2 linked regions of the Canis lupus familiaris genome follow. The protein of the gene in region 1 purifies or fractionates together with the protein of each later gene. This does not show direct contact. Links are inferred from orthologs where the notes say so. Each region holds a gene or a part of one and is shown in the gene's direction. Other genes may lie near its edges.

Evidence for each region.
Region 2: the proteins of RNF139 (region 1) and INSIG1 purify together in Homo sapiens (affinity purification with western blotting, with the first as the bait; 3 studies listed by BioGRID). This does not show direct contact. The link is inferred for Canis lupus familiaris from reciprocal best matches to the Homo sapiens genes RNF139 and INSIG1.

The regions. Positions count from the first base shown.
Region 1 is NC_049234.1:22,969,904-22,982,207, forward strand, and holds the start of RNF139 (E3 ubiquitin-protein ligase RNF139), read left to right. Parts: upstream 1-5,213; 5' UTR 5,214-5,254; coding exon 5,255-5,435; intron 5,436-6,096; exon of another isoform or gene 6,097-6,175; coding exon of another isoform or gene 6,176-6,370; intron 6,371-12,304. Other genes in the region: putative deoxyribonuclease TATDN1, read right to left, coding at 6,176-6,362. UniProt on the Homo sapiens protein: E3-ubiquitin ligase; acts as a negative regulator of cell proliferation through mechanisms involving G2/M arrest and cell death.
Region 2 is NC_049237.1:18,988,166-19,000,334, forward strand, and holds the start of INSIG1 (insulin-induced gene 1 protein), read left to right. Parts: upstream 1-4,759; 5' UTR 4,760-4,830; intron 4,831-5,371; 5' UTR 5,372-5,396; coding exon 5,397-5,796; intron 5,797-8,016; coding exon 8,017-8,141; intron 8,142-8,645; coding exon 8,646-8,812; intron 8,813-9,375; coding exon 9,376-9,475; intron 9,476-12,169. UniProt on the Homo sapiens protein: Oxysterol-binding protein that mediates feedback control of cholesterol synthesis by controlling both endoplasmic reticulum to Golgi transport of SCAP and degradation of HMGCR.

The DNA.
Region 1 (12,304 bases):
TTAATGAAGTGAGAAAAACCATCAGGTAATTTCAGGCCAGAAATTATTTTTTTAAGTAATTTCCAAGGTGTGAGAAAAAGTTATGGAACATATTTATTTCTTTTTGAGCTATCAGTTCCAGTCCTTCCTACTAGCATTCTCTTCTTCCATTTGAAGTAAATACATAATTCATTGGTGGGGAAGAGGGTGGGGTGGGTGGTTCTAAGTCCTTGTTTCCTATTGCTTTCTCCCACTAAGGAAGCTGCCTGCACCTGCCTTCTGGTACAGCTATGGAAGATACATGGTACAATAAGCTTCACCAATTGCATATCACTCTTGAAACTTGAAAAATAATGAAAATAATTCTCTAATACCTTTTTTACTTAAGATAGCTCAGAATCATTTGCTGCTGTGTGGAACAAAGACTTGGTAAATGCAAAGATCAATAGAAAATTCAGATAAGTTTTCACACATCTTACTTCCAAAGGCTTTTTAGAACTACTAAAAGGCATTCAGCCATTAAAGCCAAATGAACAGATTGTTATTCTTAAACACAGGTAATTTATGTATATAGAGTGTATCTGTATGAATACACACACACCGTTCACACTGCTCTGTATAGATTCAATATGAATATGTACCTGAGTTGTGCCACACTCATCAATGTAGAAGCCAAGCAAAGATTAAATTCAGTGAATTGCAGCTGTTTCTGAAGCTTATTTAATTTTTTTTTTCATTGTGGTGGGTGCTATGGAGCGATTATGCTTTTTAGGAATTTAGCTTCTGTTGAGAAGATGACTAACACAGACATTTCCTGATATAAAATTGAGAAAACCTCTTGCAAAGCTAAGCAACCCATAGCTAGTAAGTTCCTTTTGTAAAAAAACGATTCCTCTGAGTTTTTCCTCATTGTTCCCCTGTTCCAATCATAGCATCTATCGAGTGGTATGGTAATCACCAACTTTTTGGTAGTACAGGATTTTTAGTACAGAAAGGGCATCCCTTCATCTTTACTTGCAGGTGACTATTTCTCCTAACTTAACCGGACCCATAAAATATAAGCAGGCAGGGGCGCCTGGGTGGCTCAGTCGGTTACACATCCGATTCTTGATTTTGGCTCAGGTCATGATCTCAGGGGCATGGGATCAAGCCCCGTATTGGGCCTCCCTGCTGGGCATGTAGCCTGCTTAAGATTCTCTGCCTCTGCCCCTCTCTTTTTCTCTCCCTCTCTAAAAAGAAAACAAAACAAAAACATGTAAACAGGCAACTGGAGAAACTCAGACATGATGAAACTGAACTTAGAAATAAAGGCTTTGAGATGCCAAATGTAAAAGCACCCCTGGAGTAGGTAAAATCTTTTGAAAGCTTATGTTTTAATATTCCTAAGCTTTCTAAAATCCATCTCAGTAATATACATTTAGTTTTAAGGTAGTATTTTGAAGTACTTTGCCAGGGTCTTACTAAACCTTCATTTTATAGATGGGGAAAGTCAGCTCTAGAGTGCTTTACCATGTGAGATAAAGATGACTATTACCACCACTCCTGAAAGTTCTTGGCCCAAATGGTATTTAGTTTGAATTACAAATTCTTACACTAAGGGGGCACCTGAGTGGCTCAGTTGGTTTAAGTGTTTGCCTTTGGCTGGGTTCATGGTCCCAGGGGCCTGGGATCGAGCCCCAAGTCAGGCTCCCTGCTCAGCCGGGGAGTCTGCTTCCTCTCTCTCTGTTCCCCTCCACCCCTTGCTTTCTCAAGTAGATAAAATATTTAAAAAAAAAAATTCTATACTGGGATGCCTGGGTGGCTCAGCGGTTGAGCGTCTGCCTTTGCCTCAGGGCATGATCCCAGAGTCCCAGGATCAAGTCCCACATCCAGCTCCCTGCGTGGAGCCTGCTTCTCCCTCTGACTGTATCTCTGCCTCTCTCTCGGTGTCCTTCATGAATAAATAAATAAAATCTTAAAAAAACTTCTATACTAATAAAATTTGTGCCATTTAAGAAACCATTAAAACAATAAGGGCCGAAGCATTTTTACAAGATTTTTATTTACTATTTACTACATTTAACTTTTAAAATAAAAATCTGAGGAAAACCCATGAACTATTTTATTCTCCATTTTACATAATCCTAACATAATGGTACTCGCCTAGCCTTCTCTACCACATTCCTGTTTTAGATTAATCCTTGTGGACTCTTCTCTGTAACAGCTTCTTTTTGCTTTAAATTGCCATCAGGGCAGAAAAACAGGTGAGGTGAGAAGCTAATTTACGTCTCTGAGGTTTTCTATATAAATAAACCTTAATAGTCCTCTCATCTTACCGAGTTTGCTTTCCTTTGGGAATTTTGTCAGCACCATGAGTTTATTCCCCAGATGTGTAATTTGGGAAAATTAACCTGGCAGAGGTAAACAGACTAAAGTAGGAAAAACGGTGATCATAATAATCACAATGAGGATATTGCAGTTAGTCAGGCAAGCTACAGTAGGATCTTGGGTTGATAGTGGCAGTGACAATAGAAAGCAGACAGGTACAAAAGACTGAGGAAAGAATGGGTGCAATGTGTAGCAGACTGGCTGTGGGTGAGAAGAGGAAGATGCTTGAAGTTCTAAGCTTCAGATAGCCCTGGGTTCTTTTTTTTTTTTTTTTTTAATTTATTCATGAGAGACACACAGAGGCAGAGACACAGGCAGAGGGAGAAGCAGGCTCCATACAGGGAGCCCGACATGGGACTCGATCCCGAGATTCCAGGATCACGCCCGGAGCCGAAGGCAGATGCTTAACCGCTGAGCCACCCAGAGATCCCAGCCCTGGGTTCTACTCTTACTAGCTATGGTCACACTAGCTTACTACTTATATATGTACTTTGTAATTTTGATGACCTATGTAAGCCTCAGCTTCCTTCTCTCTGAAACAGATAATACCTACCCTCTCTGATGGCAGAGAGTGAAGCATAATGCATGGTGCCTGGCACAAAGTAAGCACCAGATAGATGGCAGTCGTTATTAGTGGGGAATAACAACAAAAGGTTAAAAACATGACACTGAGCAAGAAGTTTGTGAGTCAATCATCCTACCACACGTAACTCCACCCAGAGACAGTTGGGAGTTTTATAATCCTCCCCTCTGGAGGGTTTTTAACTAGTATAGGATGATCACCCATATAGGTCCCTGACATGAAAAGGACAGCAGAGTGCAGTTTGGGCTAGGAGCCTGAATGAGTCAGGATCCTTCTTCTTCCTGTTTTACCTCCTTAAGATGGCCAGGTTAGTAAAGCAGACTCTGACCTAATTTACACTCATTTGCTGCTGAAGGAAAGAAAAGTAAGGATGGCCAAATTATGTTAGTTACATGGGTAGGCAAGAAAGTACAGGGGAGGAAAAAAGACCTCTTCTTTCCTGGTCTTAAGTCCTGTGGCTGGGGCCCTGGAAATTAAATTCACAAACAAGAAATTAACAAGAGAAAAACAGTTTATTAACTCCTGAGTGCACATGCCCACGGGAGACAGTGAAGATGACTCAAAGGGGGGGCCTTATATATATACGATTTGGGGCTTATATATTATCTTAACAAAAGAATAATATGGTGTGCGGGGGGCGCCTGGGTGACTCAGTCCTTAAGCATCTGCCTTCGGCTCAGGTCATGGTCCCAGGGTCCTGGGGTGGAGTCCGAGCGTGGGGTGTTCCTGATTCTCCCTCTGCCTCTCACCCCTGCTCCTGTATGTGCTCTCTCAAAAAAGTAAATAATTTGGGGGGGCGCCTGTGTGGGTCAGTCTAGACATTAGCATCTGACTTGATTTCAGCTCAAGTCCTGATCTCCAGGGTCATGAGGTCAAGCCCCTTGCTCAGTGCAGAGTCAGCGTGAATTCTCAACGTCCCCTCTGCCCCTTCCCCTGCTCACTCTCTCCCCACTCCCTTAAATAAATAAATAAATAAATAAATAAGATCTTTAAAAAAATAATAATTGTGTAGAGTAGTGACAAAAGAAAAAGGGGTCTAGGCTTTCAGGGGTCGCAAACTCACGGTAAGTTTAAACATGGGGGAAACTGATGGAAGAGAAGGCTCGTGGGAGACAGTCTAAGAGGTGCCTTGTTCTTCGAAAGGCAGGAGGAGACCCCTTTACAAATGGAAACTTACGGCCTACTTTTCAGACGACTGTCAGGAGAGCAGGCCGGGATCTTAAAAAAAAAAAAAAAATTATTTGTTTTAAAGCTGCTGCTGTTTCTCGACTACCTTCAGTTCAAAGTACCCCTTGCGTCAGGTGGCGCGGGTGGCATATGCTGGTCCCGACAGAAACCTGCGCAGGAGAGCGGCGGCCTGGGTGCGCTCACCTCAGACCAGACACGAGGACGAGGCGCTCAGTCAGAGGCCCCGACGTTAGCACACCGCGGCCCGCCAGCGTCCTCGGTTCTGCCCGGCGGCGCAGGGCGGACAGGGCGGCTCTTCCGGCAGCGCGGCCGCACCCACCCGGCGCCACGTGGCGCGGCCGCCGCCCCCCGCGCGCCCCGAGACGCTCCTGCGGGACCCCGGGCGGCCGCCTCCCAGCCCCCGCCCCCGCGCGAGGTGCGGCAGGTCCGGCGGGCGGCGCCCTTCGCTTCCCTCCTCCCAAGCAGCTCTGAACGCTTCCGGGACGTTTAATGGACCAGAATAAAACAGCTAATAATTCCCGCCCACGCAAGCAGGGAGTCCCTCGCAGAGCCAGCGCCGCCTCCGCCTCCAGTAAGGAAGCCACTCTGTCAAGAAGGCGCGGCGGCCCGAGAGCGCCTGCGCCGTGAGGTGGCGCCAAAGCCTCGAAGGCGGGCGGAAACCATGGCAACGCGCGAGACGATGGCTACGCCGTGCGTGATGACGGTGTGGGGAGCGCCCCCAGCGCGGGATTATGATGCAATCAGTGGCGCGGGCTCCGCGGTCTCGCGTGACCGCGGGCGCAGCCTCCAGGCCTCCAAACAGCAGCAACGGCAGAGGCAGGCGGGCGAGGTCAAGATGGTGGCTCCGCGGGCGGGGGAGGTGTTGGAGGGAGGAGGAGCCAGACCTTAGCCAGCCGGAAACACCGACACCCAGAGGCCTCCCGGGAGCCGCCGCCGCTACCTCCGCCGCTGCCGCCTCCGCCGCCTGCTCCAGCTCGAGGGACGCGAGCGGGCGGCGGGGCGGGCCGCGAGGGAGAGCCGCGAGGAGGGAGGGCAGGGGCGGAGTCACCCGCCGTAGCCCCCGCCCCCGGCCGCGGCCCCGGGCCCTGCCCCGCGCGGCCCTGCCCGGCTCGCCCAGCCCCGGTGTGGCAGCGGCTCATGGCGGCGGTGGGGCCCCCGCAGCAGCAGGTGCGGATGGCCCATCAGCAGGTCTGGGCGGCGCTCGAGGTGGCGCTCCGGGTGCCGTGCCTCTACATCATCGACGCCATCTTCAACTCCTACTACGATTCCAGCCAAAGCCGGTTCTGCATCGGGCTCCAGATCGTCCTCCGGCTCCTCGGTGAGGGCGGCGGCGTAGCTCGCGTCCCGGGACGGCTGTGAGGGCCGCGGCGTGCTGCGGGGAACGGGCTCCGCGCGCAGCCTGTGGGGAGCGTGTGTACGGGCGTTCGAGGACCAGCGGTTTTTTTCGCCAATAGGGGCGTCTTTGCAGGTTGGGAGGAGGGAGGAGATGACACTTGTCTCGGAGCTGACAGCCGAGCGTCCTCCTAGAGTCAGCCCTCTGTTGGTGTTTGCGCCCGAGGGTGAGGAGAGCGCGCGGATGTGCGAGCCTGCGGCGCTTCGCCTGCTGTTTCTCCTGGGGAACGGGCGCCGGCCGCCTGAGGAAAACAGCAGCCGTTTGCCCCGGGTCTCGCCGCCTGTGACCTTGGGCTTGTAGTGCCAGGGCCTGGGCCTCAGTTTCCCCCTTTCCCCAAATGCGGAGTACTGGTGTGTTGTCACTTCTGTATCCACGAGGTCCACGTGATCGTGGCGTGTCCGTGGTAAATGACATCCACGCGAAAGAGTCCGGGTTTTGAATGTCCTGCCTCGAAACCATTACTAGAAACGCTCGTGAAGGAGGCGATGCCTGTAACGAGTCCTGAAATTTTCCATGAATAGAGAGGTACCGAAAAGTGGTTATAAAAACGTGGCTAGAAAGTGATGAGACTTTTCCAAGGGAAGAGTTCTGAAAATCAGTGTCTTTGTTGCACATGAATGGAGTGTTAAAAATCTCTTACGTTTCACTCCCCATCTACCCTTGCATTACCAGAGTGAGAAGCATTTATGCATACAAGAATTTTTTAAAGTAATTGAAACTTGGCAAATTTTGTTGATGAGGGAATTCTTGTGATCGGTGTTTAGGAGGCTTGTGATTTTGAAGCGTTGCTGAGGAAGGGTTGATGATGAGATCCTAACCAGGCCTTTCTGAATTAGGAGCCATCTGTTGCTTCTTTATTCCTCAAAAAAAAAAAAAAAAAAAAGAATTTTGTTATTGGCAGTTTGTTTGGTACTTTACCTTTGTAAAACATTTTCACTAACCTAAACTTTAAACATCCCTCAGAGGTGGATTGTGTTGTTCTCGTTTTTAAAATGAGGAAACTGAGAGCTATAGAGGTCAAGTGTGTTTTGCTTTAATATACAGCAATTAAGTGGTTGTCAGAGCCTGGGCTTACAAAGCTTCTGACATCAAGGGTGGTTCACTTTCCTCCTCCATACAGCTGCTATCCAGATACAGAATGGTATAGTAATGATCCTATACTAGATCTTTAAACTAACAGATGTGAAAATGATGATCTTAGCACCAGACTTCTCAGGAACCACTAGCTGCTTAATCCCAGTCATTCCCACTTACCACTGCAAAAGTGTAATGCCCTCATTATTTGTGGCAAAAGTGGGCCTGTGTGATTTCACAGTATATACAAATACGAAATCATGTTTTACACCTGAAACGAATGTTATGTCAGTTATACCTCAGCTTAACGCATTCACTAGTTTTAATATTTCATACTCAATATATTTTTGGTTAACTCTGATAGTCATGGGTAAAAGTGATTTCAGTAAAATAACATTAAAGTGAAATTAATAAAGGGGACCTGTTGGGAAGGCATTTTATTTTTGCCAATTAGAAACCACTCATCATGATCATAAATTAACAGGCTAATCTCAGTATAGTTACTTAAGTATTCCAGCTGAGGCGGATGAACTGCCAGCCCTCTTTCCCCGCCATACCTACCCACATTAGGAGATGATATGTATGCAAGCTAGATCTATGCCAATTCTTGGTATGGAGAGAAATGAAGAAAAAAAATATTATTTTTATTCCTCAACCCCATGGGATGAGAGAGAGCTTGCTAGAGAGAGAACAGAAGCTAACAGACTTCTAGGGAACTTTGTCATTTTGGGATAACCCAAGTGCTGCTTTGGAAACTAATCAAGTATAACAAAGACAAAAGGGTCGGAGGATGACTTTCCTCACTTCTGTTTTGAGAGGAGGTCATGATACAGCAACAAAACCCGAAAAACAAAACTGCTGTGTTTGAGAGGATTCATGTATTCACTTGGCAAATGTGTAGCCACTGCCTTGAATATGCTTTTGGCCTGTGACTGCATATCCTCTGACAGTCTCTTTGTGACCAGGTCTTTAATGCAGGGCTCTTAGAGTTGAGCTTTAAGGAAAAGGGAGTAGTCAATTAAATCATATGTATTTAAGAACACTGAACAGTAATTTTGGTATTTGTAGTAAATCATGGAAGTTCGTATTCGACAAGTTAAAGTAGAATGTGACCTCAGGCAAGTTAACTGCTCTGTACCTCCTGTTTCTTATCTTTACATTTTTAAAGGTGGGCAATAATGGTCTGTCATAGGATGTTACGGATAATAGTTAGGATGTAAGCTCATAGAGCAGTATTTGGGACCTAGTAAAGTCTACTAAGTATTAGCTATTAATAAGCCTGATAACTTTTAAAGAAATATTCCTGTACTTCAATTAAGACCATACTGTTTACAGATATTTTGGTCTTTTGAAGGCATCAGTATAATTTTGGTGCTTTGTTCCCAGAGTTTTCTGTTTACGCTTTGTGAGAAATACAAAATATTTTCCAGATCGCTCCTTACCTTATGCCACTATAGTTTGCTAATTTTTCACATTTGTGAGAATAAAATTCTTAAAAAAAAAAAAAAAGATTTATGTATTTTAGAGAAAGAGCATAAGCAGGAGAGGTAGAGAATCCCAAGTAGACTCCCCACTGAGGGCAGACCCTGCCCATGGGGCTCTGTTTCAGGACCCTGAGATCATGACCTGAGCTGAAACTAAGAATCAGACGCTTAACTGACTATGCCACCTGGGCACCCCAAGAATGACAAAATTCTTAAAAACTAGTTTTTTGCTGAAATTCACCCTGAATAAAAACACATCTTCAGTATTTGAGGTCCAGTCAATGAGGCAGCTTATGTTACTGAAAGTGATGGATTTGTGTGTAATAGGTGCCAAAGGATAGTTGAAATTATTCTACACCTGATTAGGTTTTTTTTAAATAATTGTAGACGTTTCAGTATTACTATATATAAATCTCAAAACTTGTCAGTCTCACCTTTTTCTGTAAAATGAAATTGTAAAAATGGAAGCATTACCAATTTTATATCTAGTCTCTGAAGAATTTCCCTTCCCCTACAAAAAAGTACTACCACAGCACCTTTGGTATCAAAATACTAGGAGAATTTCAGCAGATGAGAGAATATAAAGCATCTCATTTGGAGATCTAAATAAAATCCAATCACAATATATAAAGTATTTAAGCATATTAAGCTATTCTTAGGAGGTGTTAAGTGCTAAATGAAATGCAACCCAGTGCAGCATAATGCTGAATTAACAAATCTAAGGCAGAAAATGCAAGCATAGGAGTTTGTTTTACATGTAATGGTAATTCATTGAAGTGGAAAGGCCTTTTTAAATATACAAGAAAAATAAATAAATATACAATAAAATCCCAAAATTGCAAGGGAAAATTCGATACATTTGAATACATAAAAAATGAAAAACTTTTATGATAAAACTTTTTTAAAACAATTCTAAAAATGACAAACTGAGGATACTATTCGCATTGTATGAGATTGAATAAGTTTTACTCTGTCATTAAGAAAACCTTATACTCCCAGAGAAAAATGGGCCCAGGATAAGTAGTTCCCAATAAATGAATGCAGATGGTCAATAAGCAAAAGAAAAATACTCATAATTTTAAAAAATGCAGTAAGAACAAAATTTCAGTTATCAGATTAGTGAAGAGTTAGATCAAATAAAAACTTGTTTGTCAAAGGTGTGGGGAAATGAGTAAAGTTAGACAGTTTTGGTATGCTGTCACTTCTTTGTAAAGGCATTTGGTACTGCCTAACTAAAACTCAGCATACACCTTTTGACTCACAATTCCAATTCTGAGAATTTGACCTAAAGACATAGTTGTACTTGTTCAAAGACTATGGGAAAGGATTTTTGTTGAAGCATTGTTGGTAATAACAAAATAAATTGTTAATCTAAGTATTTATTAAAAGGGAATCTGTTCTTTGTGCTAGGTTTAGACGTACAATAAAGGTTTTGAAAAGAATGAGAGCGATATTTGGTGCTGTAGAAGGAACTCAGAAAACCTTTGAAGTGAGAAAACATTGCAGCAGTAGTAATTTTGACACGATAGGGATAGATTAGGAATTTCTCGACAGCAACACTATTGACATTTTAGACTGGGTAATTTTGGGGGGAGGTGGGGGGGGTGCTGTTCTGTGAATTGTAGGAATTTTAGCAGTGTCCTTCTACCCATTACATACCCGTTACATACCCTCTTCCCCTTTTTGTGATTGCTAAAAATGTCTCTAGGTATTTATTTATTATTTTTTTAAAGGTTTTATTTATTCATTCATGAGAGACACAGAGAGAGAGAGAGGCAGAGACACAGGCAGAGGGAGAAGCAGGCTCCATGCAGGGAGCCTGACACGTTATCGCAGGTTCCCTGGATCACATCCTGGGCGTAAGGTGGCGCCAAACCGCTGAGCCACCCGGGCTGCCCCTGTCTAGGTATTTAGATAGTGCCAAATGCCTGGTGTGGGGGTGGGGAGGTTGGGTTGGTAAAAAATCTGATCCTGGTTAGGAATCACTGAAATGGACAAATAGACCAATAGCACAGAATGGAAAGCCCAGAAACAGAGCACCCATGTATATAGAGAAACTTACTTTGTTTCAGAGGTAGAATCGAAGTACATCCATTGAGGTAAATACAGATTATTCAGGTATTGGTCATTCAGTATATGGAAAAAATTATGCTGGATTCCCTACCTCACATCAATATATAGACAATTCTAAGTGGGTTAATACCTAAATGTGAAAAGCAGAACTTTAAAATTTCTAGAAGAAAATATAGAAGTATTACAGAGGGTTTTTTTTTTAACCCTAGAATAAGTGAGAAATTCTTTAAACATATATGGAAGTTAGGGTGCCTGGGTGGCTCAGTTGCTTAAGCCTCTGACTCTTGATTTTGGTTCAGGTCATGATCTCAGGGTTGTGAGGTTGAGCCCCACATCGGGCTCTGTGCTGGGTGTGGAGCCTGATTAAAATTCTCTCTTCCTTTCCCACTGCTCCTCACCCCCTCTAAAAATACATGTATGTAAAAGTAATATAAAGATTGATAAATCTACTAGTATTAAAATTAAAAACCTTTGTTAATCAAAAGGCAGTATCAGAAATGTGAAAAGATCAGCCACATACCTGGTGAAGATATTTGCACTATAGGTAACTGACAAAGAATTTGTAGTCAGAATATTTTTAAATGTCTAAAATTCAAGAAGGAAAAACAACTCCATAGATAAGTGGATAAAAGATAAATTGGCAATTCACAGAGGAAGAAGCATGAGTGGTCAATAAATTGGAGGAACTGAGTGGGAAAAATTAGAGGGAGACAAACCATTAGAGACTCCTAATTCTAGGAAACAGGGTTGGGGGATGGGGTAACTGGGTGACATGCTATGAGGAGGACACTTGATGGGATGAGCACCTGGTGTTATACTATTTGTTGGCAAATTGAATTTAAATTAAAAAAATGTAAAAAGAAAGAAAAATTGGAGGATCCCCTTGCTGATAACTAATCAGAAATGCAAATTTTTTTTAAAGTTAAAAAATATACTCCACTTTTCAATGAGATCCTCTTCAGGTAAAAAGCGAAAAAGAATGTTTATGAATGTATATTTATGTAAAACTTTATTCTTCCTCTAACAACTATAGGGTTTGACTTTTAAAAATATTATATTCAGATTTATTTTTAATAAAAACATGTTAAAATCTTAGAAGCAAAAACTTAGTGTTCTTATTAACAAAGGAGTTAAAACACCCTTTTTAGCCCAAGATGAGATTTTGATAGAAAATATTTCTTTATGCTCTGGTTTATTTATCAAGTATACCTATAGATTAATGTTTTAAGATGTTTTATTTATTTTGGCTATATTTTATTGCTGAGTGCTCCTTTTGGATTAAGGTAATCATAACATTCCTGTGCTATTCCATCTTTACTGTTACGCATTTAAATGTTTTTCCACAGTTTTTTTATTATGTTTAAAAAGTATTTAAAGATACCTGGAGAGTAATCAATGTTACGTCTTATTTCCTTCTAAGTTTTAGTCCTAAGTTTCCAGACAAGGTTAAAGAAGGTATGAATGTATTTTATACATAAAAATATTAAATGCTTTGTTGTACACCATGCGTAGTAGTATTTTTGTTTGCTTATTTTTGGTGGTCAAATTGTAAAGGCTCTGAACTCTTTTCATGAATTCAGTTCTATATATCTTCAAAGCTCCTGAGTTGATTTTGATACTTGCCTGTTTTTCTACCCTGAGAACTTGAGTGAAACTCTAATCACTGGAGAATTGAATCCCAAGATGAGCTTTCAATTATTTCTCTTCTCCAGTGTCCCACAGTGATTTTTCTTCATAAACTGCATTTATATTTAGTCTTGATTGCTTCTTCAGATCACTCTGATATCCTAATGAGAAACTCTACTTCTGGACCTAATTTTCTTAGGCCTCTATGATAAATACGAAGAGTTTTATATCTGAAGTTGTGAAAATGCAACAAACTTTGACATTATTGACAATACTCCCTACAGGCTATAAAGGGGAATGTTACTTGAGACTTGTTACTTGGCAAGTTGGCTTTTTCTGTGAAATGAGCGCTGATTTTTCCCCACATTCCATACATAGGAACATAAGTATAAAATAAAAATGTAAGCACCTTACATACATGCAACCTTTGGGTAGGAATCAAAATAATTTTATGCTACTCTTGAAATATTTCATCATTATTATGTTTTGGGGTATAATTTTAATCAAGAGAATAGTAGTATCTTAGTGTTACTTGAT
Region 2 (12,169 bases), on another chromosome or scaffold:
AAATTGATTGCTGGCTGCCCAGGGCTGGGGAGCGGAAGCTGGAAGATGGGGTGGAGGGTGGGGAGGGAAAGGACAGCTAAAGCCTGAGTTTCTTTCTGGGTTGATGAAGATGTTCTAGGATTGACTGTGGTGATGATTGCACACATCTGTGAATATACCAAAGCCATGGAATTGTACACTTTAAATGGGGAAACTGCACGGTTAGTAAATTGTATCTTAATAAAGCTGTTTAAAAACGATGACCTAATCTATACTGATTGACTTGGAGAGCTACTCATTATCTCTGAAGGTCTGGTTCCATTATATGTGAAGTATGATCTTACTTAGTTGTTTTAAACACAAACACACACTTATGCACAGGAAAAAAATGTGGAAGTACACACCCCGAAATATTACATTATTTCTGGTCACTGGGATTATGGGTTTTAAAAATATATTCCTGAGGCGTCTGGGCGGATCAGTCGGTTGTGCCTCTGACTGGTTTCAGCTCAGGTCATGATCCCAGGGTCATGGGGTTGAACCCCATGTCAGGCTCCATACTCAGCAGGGAATCTGCCTATCCTTCTCCCTCTGTTCCTCCTCTCTCTCTCTTTCTCTCTCTCTCTCAAAAAATAAAATCTTTTAATTAAAAAATACTAAAATAAAATATATTCTTTCATATTTTCTGAATGAAACGAGCATGTGATGTTCTTCTATTAAAAACAATATACTTAGCCTTCTACCCTATTCTTAAAAATATTTATTATAAATGGTTATTAATGTGTAAAAAAACACAATAGTAGGAATACAGACTATAGGCACTCACTGCAAGACCTCTCAAAGGTCTTAGACACCTGGCTCTTCCCTTCCTCTCTTGAGTCTTCTGTGTCTAGAGAGCTACAGAGGTCTTGGGTCCTGAGTTAGTGATTTGGGAAGAAAGTACGTCACAGCATTTGGTCCATTACCAACAGTAAACTTTCCTTGCATGATGGCCCATCTATAATGAATGATTAACATAAAATGAAGTAATTAAGAACTAAATGCTCTCCTGAACACATTTCCCTAAATACTTAACTCTGAGTAACTGACTGGGGCTGGGGGGGGGACAGAGAGCCCTTATGTATTAGAGAAGCTGCAACAATAACAACGTCACTGGGGATAATGGAGTTGCAAATTCTCAAAATATTTGAATATTGTTTCTGAAACCAAGCCTGTGGTTTGCAAGCCTCACAATGTACACTCACATTCTTCCATTGCCATTCCCCTAGCCTAACTTCATTCGTGGGACCAGATTCCACCGGCATTGGAGCAAACCACAGGCCGTGGGGCAGCAGTACTGAGGCCACATCCACAGCCCTCAGCAAGGACCCAACAGAACACAGTCCGCAGGCAGCCCTCCCACTTCCCACAGGCTCCCTGGGCCTCGAAGCGGCTCCCGGAGGGCTCCTGATTCACAAAGTCCCAGGACAGATGTGAGGGAATGAGGGGTCAGAGGCTGGACTGTGTGGCCAGCAGCTGGGGCAGGGAGAGAAATAGGCACATGAACAGACCTTAACACACCAATAAGCTCATGGAATGGAGAGTCCGTTTCCACACAGGAGACAGACAACACAGAAACCTATAAAATATTCTCATGAGGGGCGCCTGGGATGCTCAGTGAGTTGAGTGTTCGACTCTCAGTTTCAGCTCAGGTCATGATCTCAGGGTCGTGAGATCCAGCCCCACCTCGGGCTTGGTCCTGAGAGTGGAGTCTGCTTGAGATTCTCTCTCCCACTCCCTCTCCCTGCACCACTTGCACACACACTCTCTCTCAAATAGATAAGTAAATCTTTTTAAAAATATGTATTTTCATAAGGTTTGTACTTGTACATAAGGGTATTACACTAAAAGCGACACTGGAGTAGTCTGCATGGCCAGGCAAAATGGCAAGAGAAAAAAACATAAAGAAAACCTAACACATCTTAGATCCCAGAAGACAGATATGCTAATTTCAGTGCTGTAAGGAATCCACCTACACAGCAGCTTGGCAGGTAAGTGAAGAGCAGTCCCCCCTGCTCTTGGGCCTCATATACCTGAATGGACCAGTTTTTGAAAGCTGGTGAGAAGCTCCCTGCATTTACTAGTCTTTCCTGATTGAGTCCATGACATGCCGACATTTCAGGGCCGAGGCTGATGCAGATCCACGTCCACAAGATTCACACCTTGATTGAAAGAAGTGCTTCTCCACCTGCATATGACACTGCAGGCTGATGGCAGGGGAAGGGAGAGAGAACACTGGCTGCTGATGGCTGAGCCGGCAGTGACGTGATTACATAGCGTCCCTTGGATACGTGTGCCGTCATTGAGCCAGACGATCTCCTATCAGTGAACAGTTGGGCAGCTTTTCATGTTTTTGCTTTTACAAAGTTCCAATGTTACAACGGTGTGCACTTACAGTAGATGCGTGGAGAAAATGGCCAAGACCCACATGACACTATGCCATGAAGTCAAGAGCGCTTTGAACTTCTGGGAGCAAGGTTTATAGTGGTGATCAGGGTTTAGAGAGGGATACACAGAGTGTGAAAGCCAGCTTCTGCCCTTCTCACAGAGAGACGTGAGGACGGAACCCCTCCTTCCCACCCACTTCCACTTTGGGTCGTGCCCAAGAAATGCAAACAAGTGACATTATTAGCAAATTATAAGTCTTGATTATGCAGGAGTGTTTGAAAACACTTTTGTCATAGTTCATGATGAAGAAACTTGTTAAAAACTTAGGCTCTCATGGAGGTAGAAAAGATTAGTAGGTTACGTTCACACTGGGTTGGCATGATGGACTGGCTGTAGGGTGTTTACACCATAACCAGGCTGTGTCTGGCCTATAAGTTAGCAGTAGCAGAAAACCCACCATGGACGCTGATGCAATAGTAACAAGCTAATTAATGGATGGCAAGTGTCTTTACGCTGTGCTTCTCAAAACTTTAATGAAACACCCCTTAAAGTCACGGAGTGGGAACACAGCCACTGTAAGACTACTTTTTCCTGAAGTTTCCTGTTTCATCATTGAAAAAATCATGTGAACCCTCCCCTCCCATCTCCCCACCCAACAAAAAAAAGGAACTTTGAAAAATATGAGTATCTCAGGAGGCTGTCTCCATTTTTTTAAAGCTTCTGGCACCGAGTCACAAACCCTGATACTGAAGTTGCCACGTGCAATGGGATTTCATGCTGCCTCAGCCCCCGGGGTCTCTCAGCCACCAGAGGATCTGCTCTAAGTCCCAACTTCCTCTCAATCTCTGCTGATGGGGGACACTACAGAAGACCACGGACTCTTCCCCCGCTACTGTTGAGGAACATCTTAATACCATCTTGCTCAACAAGATGTGAGATTAGCACGGGGCACGGTGTGACACATGTGGGAAACAGGGTCGAAACACATTACACATCAACGAGGTAAAGCAATCTGCTTTTGAAGAGTAAAGTTTAATAAGAGTTTACATTTTCTGTTTTTCTGCAGTACGTGTGATGGTTTGCTTTCCGTAAATAAGGAAAGGCAACGTGAACGTGGGAGAAGTCACTGCAGGAATGAAAAGTGCATCATCTGCATTTTCATCAAAGATTTCATGTCTAAGAAGGGCTTCTGGACCCCTCTAGGCCGCCGGGAAGCACACACCCGCCGACAGCTCCATCTCCGCGCCGGGCTTCGTGCGGGGCATCCACCCACCTAGGCCAGGGAGCAGGTGTGGGGACCGTCAGGCTCTGCAGAAGCGGGCCAGACAGGAGAGGTAGGGGCTGTGGGACCCAGGAAATCTGACGTTAATGCCCTACCCCTGGACAAGCAGAGCAGGACTAACTCCATTTTGTGCTGCACCCGCCACCTCATGTAAAACCCCCCACACGACCTGCCTGTTGTTTAAGGCACTCCCTCACCCCAGTTTAGCTATTAAGCACACCCTTATCAGGAACCAGCACACCTAGGAATGCGGGACCTCTGACTTTTAACCGCCAAAGAATGAAAACCCCGTCTTCTGCCGCCGAACCTGCGCGCCAACTCTAACCAGAATAATAGGCTAGTCCAAATGGTCACTATAGGGCGAATCGTAATTCAATCGGCCACCTGCGTGCGCACCGACATGACTGTGCAACTTTCTGTGTGTTACAATCTCCCTGGGCACGGACCCCTGCAACACTGCTGTGCTTCTTAGCCTCGGGGTCCGAGCCCCTGCTCCGCTGTGTCGGGTACACTTGGACCCAAGCTCCAGCTTGCAAATAAACCCTCATGTACTTGCAGCGGCGTCGGCTCCTCGGCGGTTTCTCGGATGCGCGGTCTTGGGCACAACAGGGGCAGCGTCAGGTGACGCGGCAGGTGCAGCGCGATCACCTGCTGCCGGCGCGGTGCAGAGGCCGGTTAGCAGGGGACGCCACCGTGCGCCACGTCCGGGGAGGACCCGCCGCCCGCTCTCCCCTCCCCTCCCCTCCCCTCCCCTCCCCTCCGGGCCCGCCGGCCCCCAGCTCCCCGCCGCCCCGCCGCCGTCCACCCGCCCCGCCGCCCCGCAGTCCACCCGCCGGCCGTCCGCGCTCCCGAGCCAGCGCCGGGCGCGAGGTGGCGGTGGCGTGTGCTGACGTCATATGGGCCGCCCGCCTCCGATTGGCCACCGCCGCCTCACCAGACCGCGAGCGGACGGGCGCGCGGGCGGGGCGGGGCGCGCGGAGGCCACGCCCCCCGACGGCGGGCCGGGCGGGGTCACGTGACCCGGGCCCCACCGCCCGCCTTATAAGCCGCGCCGCGCGCCCCGCGCCACGGGCCCAACTCCAGGCGGTCCCGGCCGCGACCTCTTCCCCCCCGAGCCCGCGCGCGGGCGCCCCCCCGGACAGGTACGCGGGGAGCGTGGGAGACTCCGGGGCCGAGCTCGGGGCGGGAGCCGGGGGCGCGGGGCCTGGGGCGGTCCGGGCGCCCCCACCCACCCCCGGGAGCCGCGGGGACCCGGGCCCGGCCCCGGGGCGGAGCTGCACGCCTGACCCCCGCGGGTCGGCTCGGCCCCCCCCTGCCCCGGGCCCGGGTAACTTGCGCTGCGCGCGGACGGCGTGTGGGAAACTTTGGGGCCGGACGGGCCAGCGCTGGAGGCGCGTGCGGAGGGCACCGGGGCCGCTCGGTGCTGGCAGCCGGTCCCAGACGCCTGGCCGCCGCCGCCGCCGCCCGCAGCCCCGCGCCACCCAGCGGGCACCCGGCGGGACCTGGGCGCGGGCCGTGCCGTCTGCGGGCGCCCGGAGCCCCGGCTTCCCGCGCGAGCCGCGAGGCCCGCACCTCGCCCTCCGCCCGACGCCGCCCGGGCCCGGCTCCCCAGCTCCCCAGCTCCCCAGCTCCCCAGCTCCCCTCGCCCGCGAGCGTGACGGGGCCCCGCCCCTCTCCCTGCAGGAGCGCCGGCGCGCCCCGGTGACCGATGCCCCGGCTGGACGACCACTGCTGGAGCTGTTCGTGCGCCCAGGGCGCCAGGCACCGAGGCCTCCCGGTGGCCGGGGCCGGAGGGCTGGCGGCTAAAGTGGGAGACATGCTCAGCCCCGCGGCGCTGGCGGCCCGCCGCGGCCCGGACCCCGCGCCCGCTCACGGGCCTCGCAGCCCCGGGGCGGGGGGGGCTCGCGGCGCTGGCGGCGGCTCCCCGGGCAGCTGGCACCACCACCTGGTGCGACGGAGCCTGGTGCTGTTCTCGGTGGGGGTCGTGCTGGCCCTGGTGCTCAACCTGCTGCAGGTGCAGCGGAACGTCACGCTGTTCCCCGAGGAGGTCATCGCCACCATCTTCTCGTCGGCCTGGTGGGTCCCGCCGTGCTGCGGGACGGCGGCCGGTGAGTGCAGCGGGGGTGGGGGCGCCGCTCGGGGGCGCTGCTCGGGGCCGCCGGGCCGGCCTCCCGCCGACCTGGCCCGGGGGCCGCGCGCGCCGAGCCCGCCGCCGTCCCCGGGCTGAGCGCACCCCGGATTGGCGGCGGGCGAACTGGTGAGCGGCACGGCGGCGCTGCCATTGGCCCGGCGCGCGAACACGCTACCCGCCGGCCACCGAAAACAAACCGTCACGTGCGCCCCGCCGGGCGGGGGCGGGGCGGGGCGGAGGGGACGCCCGGCGGGCCGCGGGGTGCCGCGGGGTGCCGCCCGCTGACTCCGTGCGCAGGGGCCGCTGACTCCTGGGGGACTTGTTCTGCTCCCGTGCCCACGCGTGGTGGATCTCGGCTTGGCTCGGAAGACCGCCTAGCGCTTCTCTAGCGGCGCAGCCTTCGTGCATACGCGCCGTGTCAGGCGTTTCCTGCAGCCTCGCCAGCTGCCAGCTGCGGGAGTAGAGAACGGGCGGGGCGGGCCCCAGCCCTCGGCCCCTGCCCTCGGGGAGCCACGCTCTGCTGGGCAGAGCACAGGTGTACCCAAGTGGGACAGCCGTCGCGGGGGTGCCGCGCTGTGGGCTGTGTGTCCAGCCTTGATGGGTTGCCTGCCGTGGGTTTTACGTGCTTACAACTTAAGCCTGTTCACTCCTTACAACAGTACTCTGTGATGGCTCCATTTCACAGATGTGGAAACTGGGTGCAGAGACTTTAAGCATCCCTGTCTAAGGGGACACAGTAAACGGCAGACCGCTGTGCATAACTCTGCAAACTGCCTCCCTGGAGTCTGGGTGTGTCCCCTACACTGTGGAGACACATCCTCTTTGCAGCAGACTGGCTGAGAACAGCTGGATGGCACAGGGCTGGGAGTGGAAGCTATGTTCTGGCCAGGGCACGTCAGTCACTGCCGGGTGAGGGGTGGGGGTAGAGCACCCACTCAGTGGGTACAGTGCCTTCATCTCCGTTCTTAGAAAGGTAGGATCCTACTTTGCCTTTCTAAATCCTTTAATCATACAGCTATCCTATTAAAAATCCTTTTTGAGAAAGTTACCTAGAGCAGATCCCATCTTTCATGCACATTTGGTACAGTAGTTCTTTCTCTGAATCAAAAATTCGGTCTTAAAAAGGAAATATTTTAGGTTAGGTTTTATTTGCAATTGAAGCGTCAAGGAATTCTGCACTCTCTCAGTTTCTCATACCTTCCTTAAAAAAAAAAAAAAAAAAATTACCAGATAAGCATAGGGCAAAATTCTTCAGTACGGTTGTGCCTCTTTACCCTTTAACCTTAAAAGGTAAGATTAAGTTATAGCTAAATAAGTTATAGAATTGTTTGGGTTTCAGTTTTCAAAACTCTTAAAATTAGAATTTGATAAACTGTAAGACAAAATTGAAACTGAAACTCTCAGTTTCATTGATTATTTTCACCAGAACTGTGTCCCTTATTTGTCCAGGAACCTGAACTAGTTACTCCTTTCCTAGGATAGCAGGTGGAACTGCTCCTTGGCTTTCAAGCCTCTGCACTTGGCATCTTTAAGTGCTGAGCCCCATGTCCCACAGTTGGTCCCGTGGGCCTGGATCCCCAGCAGCCTCCAGGCACCCTGTTTGTTCCTGCCTTTACTATGTCCCTGAGTGCCACACCCTCCCCCTGTCTAAGTTCTCTGTGTCCTCTCTCCTTTAAAAATCTGTGCCTGTGAAAACTCCCTAACTCTTCCTACTCCGCCTTCTGCTTACATAACCCTTGTCATTTTACACATGAGGAAACAAACATGAGGATCCAGGTCCCATCAGAGCCCACAGTGAACCAGGGGCCTGGTTCCCTGGGCCTGGTCCCAGGCTGTTCCCACAGGTCAGGACCTGGACTCACAGGGGTGGCTCAGCATGGCTGACTGGTCACAGCATTATATGGATAATTAACCCCCCCCCCCCACCTGATTGAGTTCTGTGTCTAATTAAACTGAAGAACAGCAATTTTTCAAAAACAGTGTGATCCTTTTGTTTGTAGTCAAGGAAGACGAAACAAAAAAAAAGACCAACAAAAATTAGACTTAATTCAAATGCTGTGTTATAGCATATATGTTTTCTAGGAAAAGAACTGGTTTGAATAATCTGTTAATCGCACTTAGAAGTCCTGTTGTCATAGAGCTGGCGTGTTCTCATGTGTGTTCTCATAGAGCTGACTTATGTTGTTTTCTTTGGCAGCTGTGGTGGGCTTGCTGTACCCCTGCATCGACAGTCACCTGGGAGAACCACACAAGTTTAAGAGAGAGTGGGCCAGCGTGATGCGCTGTGTGGCTGTGTTTGTTGGCATCAACCACGCCAGTGCTGTATCCTTCAGAGGATGTGCTACGTCCAGGGCATTTCCTTAGGTCATATGTTGAAGCACTTTTTTACTTCTAACGAGTATATATTATCTCATAGGTTAGTGGAATGATCTTCTTCCAACTATCTTATTTTAAAGCATATTGCTTGGTGTATAGAGTTTTCAGAATAGTTCAGGAAACTGTTGAAATAATACGAGAAGCAGAGTGGACTTTCTGTTTTGTCAGACAGTAGCTCCTGGTTCCTTGGAATTGGTTTTATAAATTCTTTTACGTTTCACCCTCATAATCTTCCATTAAGAAGACCTGGCTTCTGTGGCCCAGTGAGAGGAGGCCAAGGGTCCCTGTTCTTGGGGAGGGTTTTTTAGATGGAGACTTATGTGGTACATAATAATGACAACATGTATAGGATCTGAGTTGCTTTGTTTGCTTGTTCTGTTAGTTTTTTCCTTTGGCTTATTTTGAGCATCTTAAAAATCACTGGACTTGTCCTTAACCTTGCATCACCAGAAATTGGATTTTGCCAATAACGTCCAGCTCTCCTTGACGTTAGCAGCCCTGTCTTTGGGCCTCTGGTGGACATTTGACCGTTCAAGAAGTGGCCTTGGGCTTGGGATCACTATTGCCTTCCTGGCCACTCTGATCACTCAGCTGCTGGTGTACAATGGTGTCTATCAGTAAGTATGTTCTCTAGCATATCTACGTCACCTAGAAGCTATGACTTCACTTTTATTAAAAACGCCCACTAAGCTGAGATGCCATATTTTTTTTTAATACATACATGATGTTGACTTAGGCATGAAATTCTCAAAAATACTTACTGTTGATTCCTATGTTAAAAATGTACCACCCAGGGATCCCTGGGTGGCGCAGCGGTTTGGCGCCTGCCTTTGGCCCAGGGCGCGATCCAGGAGACCCGGGATCGAATCCCATGTCGGGCTCCCGGTGTATGGAGCCTGCTTCTCCCTCTGCCTATGTCTCTGCTTCTCTCTCTGTGTGTGACTATCATAAATAAATAAAAAAAATTTAAAAAAATTAAAAAAAAAAATGTACCACCCATAACTTAACCGTAGGGAGGTGAAGCAGTGGCAGTAAGCTCAGCGGTGAGACGGGACTGTCCTGCGGCCCATTGTGGCTGCTGCGCATCGTGCGTCTCCCCACTGGTGGACTCTCCCCCAGAGGCCAGCCAGGCTCGGGGAGGCTGACTGATTAGGTACCGTTTCCTCTGCTTTCTCTGCAGATACACGTCCCCAGACTTTCTCTACATCCGCTCCTGGCTGCCGTGTATCTTCTTCTCAGGAGGTGTCACCGTGGGCAACATAGGACGGCAGCTGGCGATGGTAGGTCCTGCGGCGGTCTGCTCCCAGTGCCTGATCGCTCGCCTGATAAAGTGGCTGCCCACGAGTCATTGTAATGTGTGGTTGAGACCCAAGAACAACAGTTACAGAGAAAAGCATAAATTTAAAAAAAACAAAACAAAAACCCAATGATACCAAGGCAACTCTTTGCTAAATGATAAAGATTTGGGGATTTGTGAACTCATGATGAACTAGGAAGCAGCCAGGGTTGGCGGGTGACCCCTCATGTTATAGATGCATTCAGCAACCTTTCTAGGCTCTCAGCGAGTCCAGTGGCTGGCAGATAAAGTCACTGAAATGGCTAATAGTTGATGACGAGGTGTCCGCTGTCCATCCCACGAGGGCAGGTGATGCCCGGGCAGGAGATGCAGCAGAGGCCCTGCACCCAGGTTGAGGCCTGGGTAGACAGGCCCTGCACATCCTGGGCTGGGGGACCTGGCTCAGCCTCCCTGGAAGCCCTGCCATCGGCCGTAGAGGGAGTCACACGGCTCGGAGCCATTGACCATTCCTTGAGACCTGGAAGGGCAGAGGGAGTCAGGGATGATTTTGGTGGTTCTACCTTCACATACAGTAGTAGTTACAGTTTCACATTTGAACACATTAGTACGAGAAAGTTCTCTCAGGAGTTGACTTTGACTCTAGGGCTTTAGTAAAACGAACGGAAGAGAATTGCTGAGTCTTACGAGGGCCACTGCCCTCACATCAGCCCTGGGGCTTTCTCAGAAAAGTTATCTCGGTCCCTCAGGCTATTTATAGAACAGGACATTTATTTGTGCCAGCTGATACTCACTTGCGGGAGCTGAATTTGAAGGCCACTTGGCTGTTTCACAAAAATAGAACTAATTTCAGAAAGATAAAATGTGTAGCATGTCCCACTGGTTCTGGAGTTCACCGTCCCTCCCTCCATGCCTTGCAATTCCTTGGGGCCAGTGCCCAAAATGGGAACTCAATGAAAATACGGTTTCTTGCAGCCCCAGTGAGGGTCAAAGGACTTGGCTTGCTTATTTTGACTCTTGCAGCCTCACATGAGACACCCCATGCACTGGCTCCCTCCCATGCAGCCCACTGACTGGTTGTCCGACTAGAACCAGGCAGGCCCACGTCACCTGGTTGTATCTGTCCACCATCTGCCCTCTGTCTGTCCACCGGTGCTTGTTGCCGTGCGGCTTCTGTTTCAGTAGCTTCAGTAGAGAACTCCTAATATGGCTTTTGGGGTAAAACTGCTGTCAACAGGGTGACTTCATAAAACAAAAATCTGAATGACGTTTGACAGGTTGCATGTTGTGGTTTCAGGCTGCTCGGCTGGTGCTGTTATGTATTTGCAGGGAAGGGTTAAGCCGGGGTTGGGAAGTAAGCATTAGTCCCGTAGAGGTAGTGACTTCCACGGGTACGAGTTATAAGCACCGAGAAATGGTAAATGGTTGGAGGGAACTGATTTGAAGAGTCATACACGTCATACCTTTGAAACTACCGCTGCTTATAGATTGTGTTAGCAGATGATCCTTGCTGTGCGCCCCCCCCGCCCCCGGTCGTTATGGTGGAAATATCAGAATTAAGTGAAAGTTTGATAAAGGTAAGTTTTAAACAAAACAAGCGAGCCACAGAGTTGCAGTTCTCCTTACTGAAGCTTGCTCTTCCCTAGCCTTTAAAAGTGGAGAGACTTATGTAAGGATGTTCTCACACCTTGAAACGTGGGGAGCGATAGTCACCTCCCCTCCCAGGTCATCAGAATGAGCGGGCGTCTCAAGGCTCTGCACCCACCCCATGCACCACTGTTTCTGTCCTCGAGAATGGAAATCCTTCCTTCCCCATGGGTCCCAGCTGCAGGGAAGGTTAGCAGAGTCCTCAGAAGTGGAGGCTCCCTTCACTTGGACCAGTGGCACCACCAGCCACACCCTGTGGTTGCCCCCGAGATGAGCTGCTGACAGCAAGTGGCTGCTCCTGGCCGCTCGAGGGTGGGGGCAGCCCAGTCCCCGTTCTCTAGGTGGAGAGCATGGGACGAGGGTGAGCACATGTGAAACTGCTGGCCCTCATGCCCCCAGCCCTGTTAGTGCTGGAGGAAGCCAGGAGAGTCATGCTAGAGTGGAGCACAGCTTCTGGAAGCTTCTCGCTTCGTTGCGTAGGGGTGTTATGGAGGCCTGAGAGCGGGGAGCCAGGTGTTAAAGCCACTTGTATAGTCCAGGTCCATCTGGACTGGCGGGCAGCCCTGGCCCCTGAGGTGAGGATGGCCTTGTGGGAGTTGGGGGGGGGGCATCTGTAAGGGGTGAGGAGCCCCTTACAGGAGCCGCTGCTTCTGGAAAGTAGAACTGCACATGGTTTGTAGGGTCTGTTTGATTTTTCTCATCTTTGTTAAAAAAAGTTACAGTAAAAATGATAGTTTTGTAATGTAAAGCGCAGGTGATGTGTGTAGGAAGTGATAGTGTAGACTGCGGAGGGCAGTGGTGAGGGAGCCAGGAAGGTCCGCTGTGAACACATGGGGCTCGCTCACCTAGAGGTCCCTGGAGGTCCCTGAGATGGAGGCCTTCCTGCCCTGCCGCCACCACAGCCGCCCAACACCCACCCTGACTTGGCTCCTGGAGGGTGAAGCCTTCCTGGACACCACCCTGGCATTACGTGGCAGTTGACACCCTGCCGCTTTGATCCTCTTGACCTCCATCCCTGGAAGTGTGTACACAC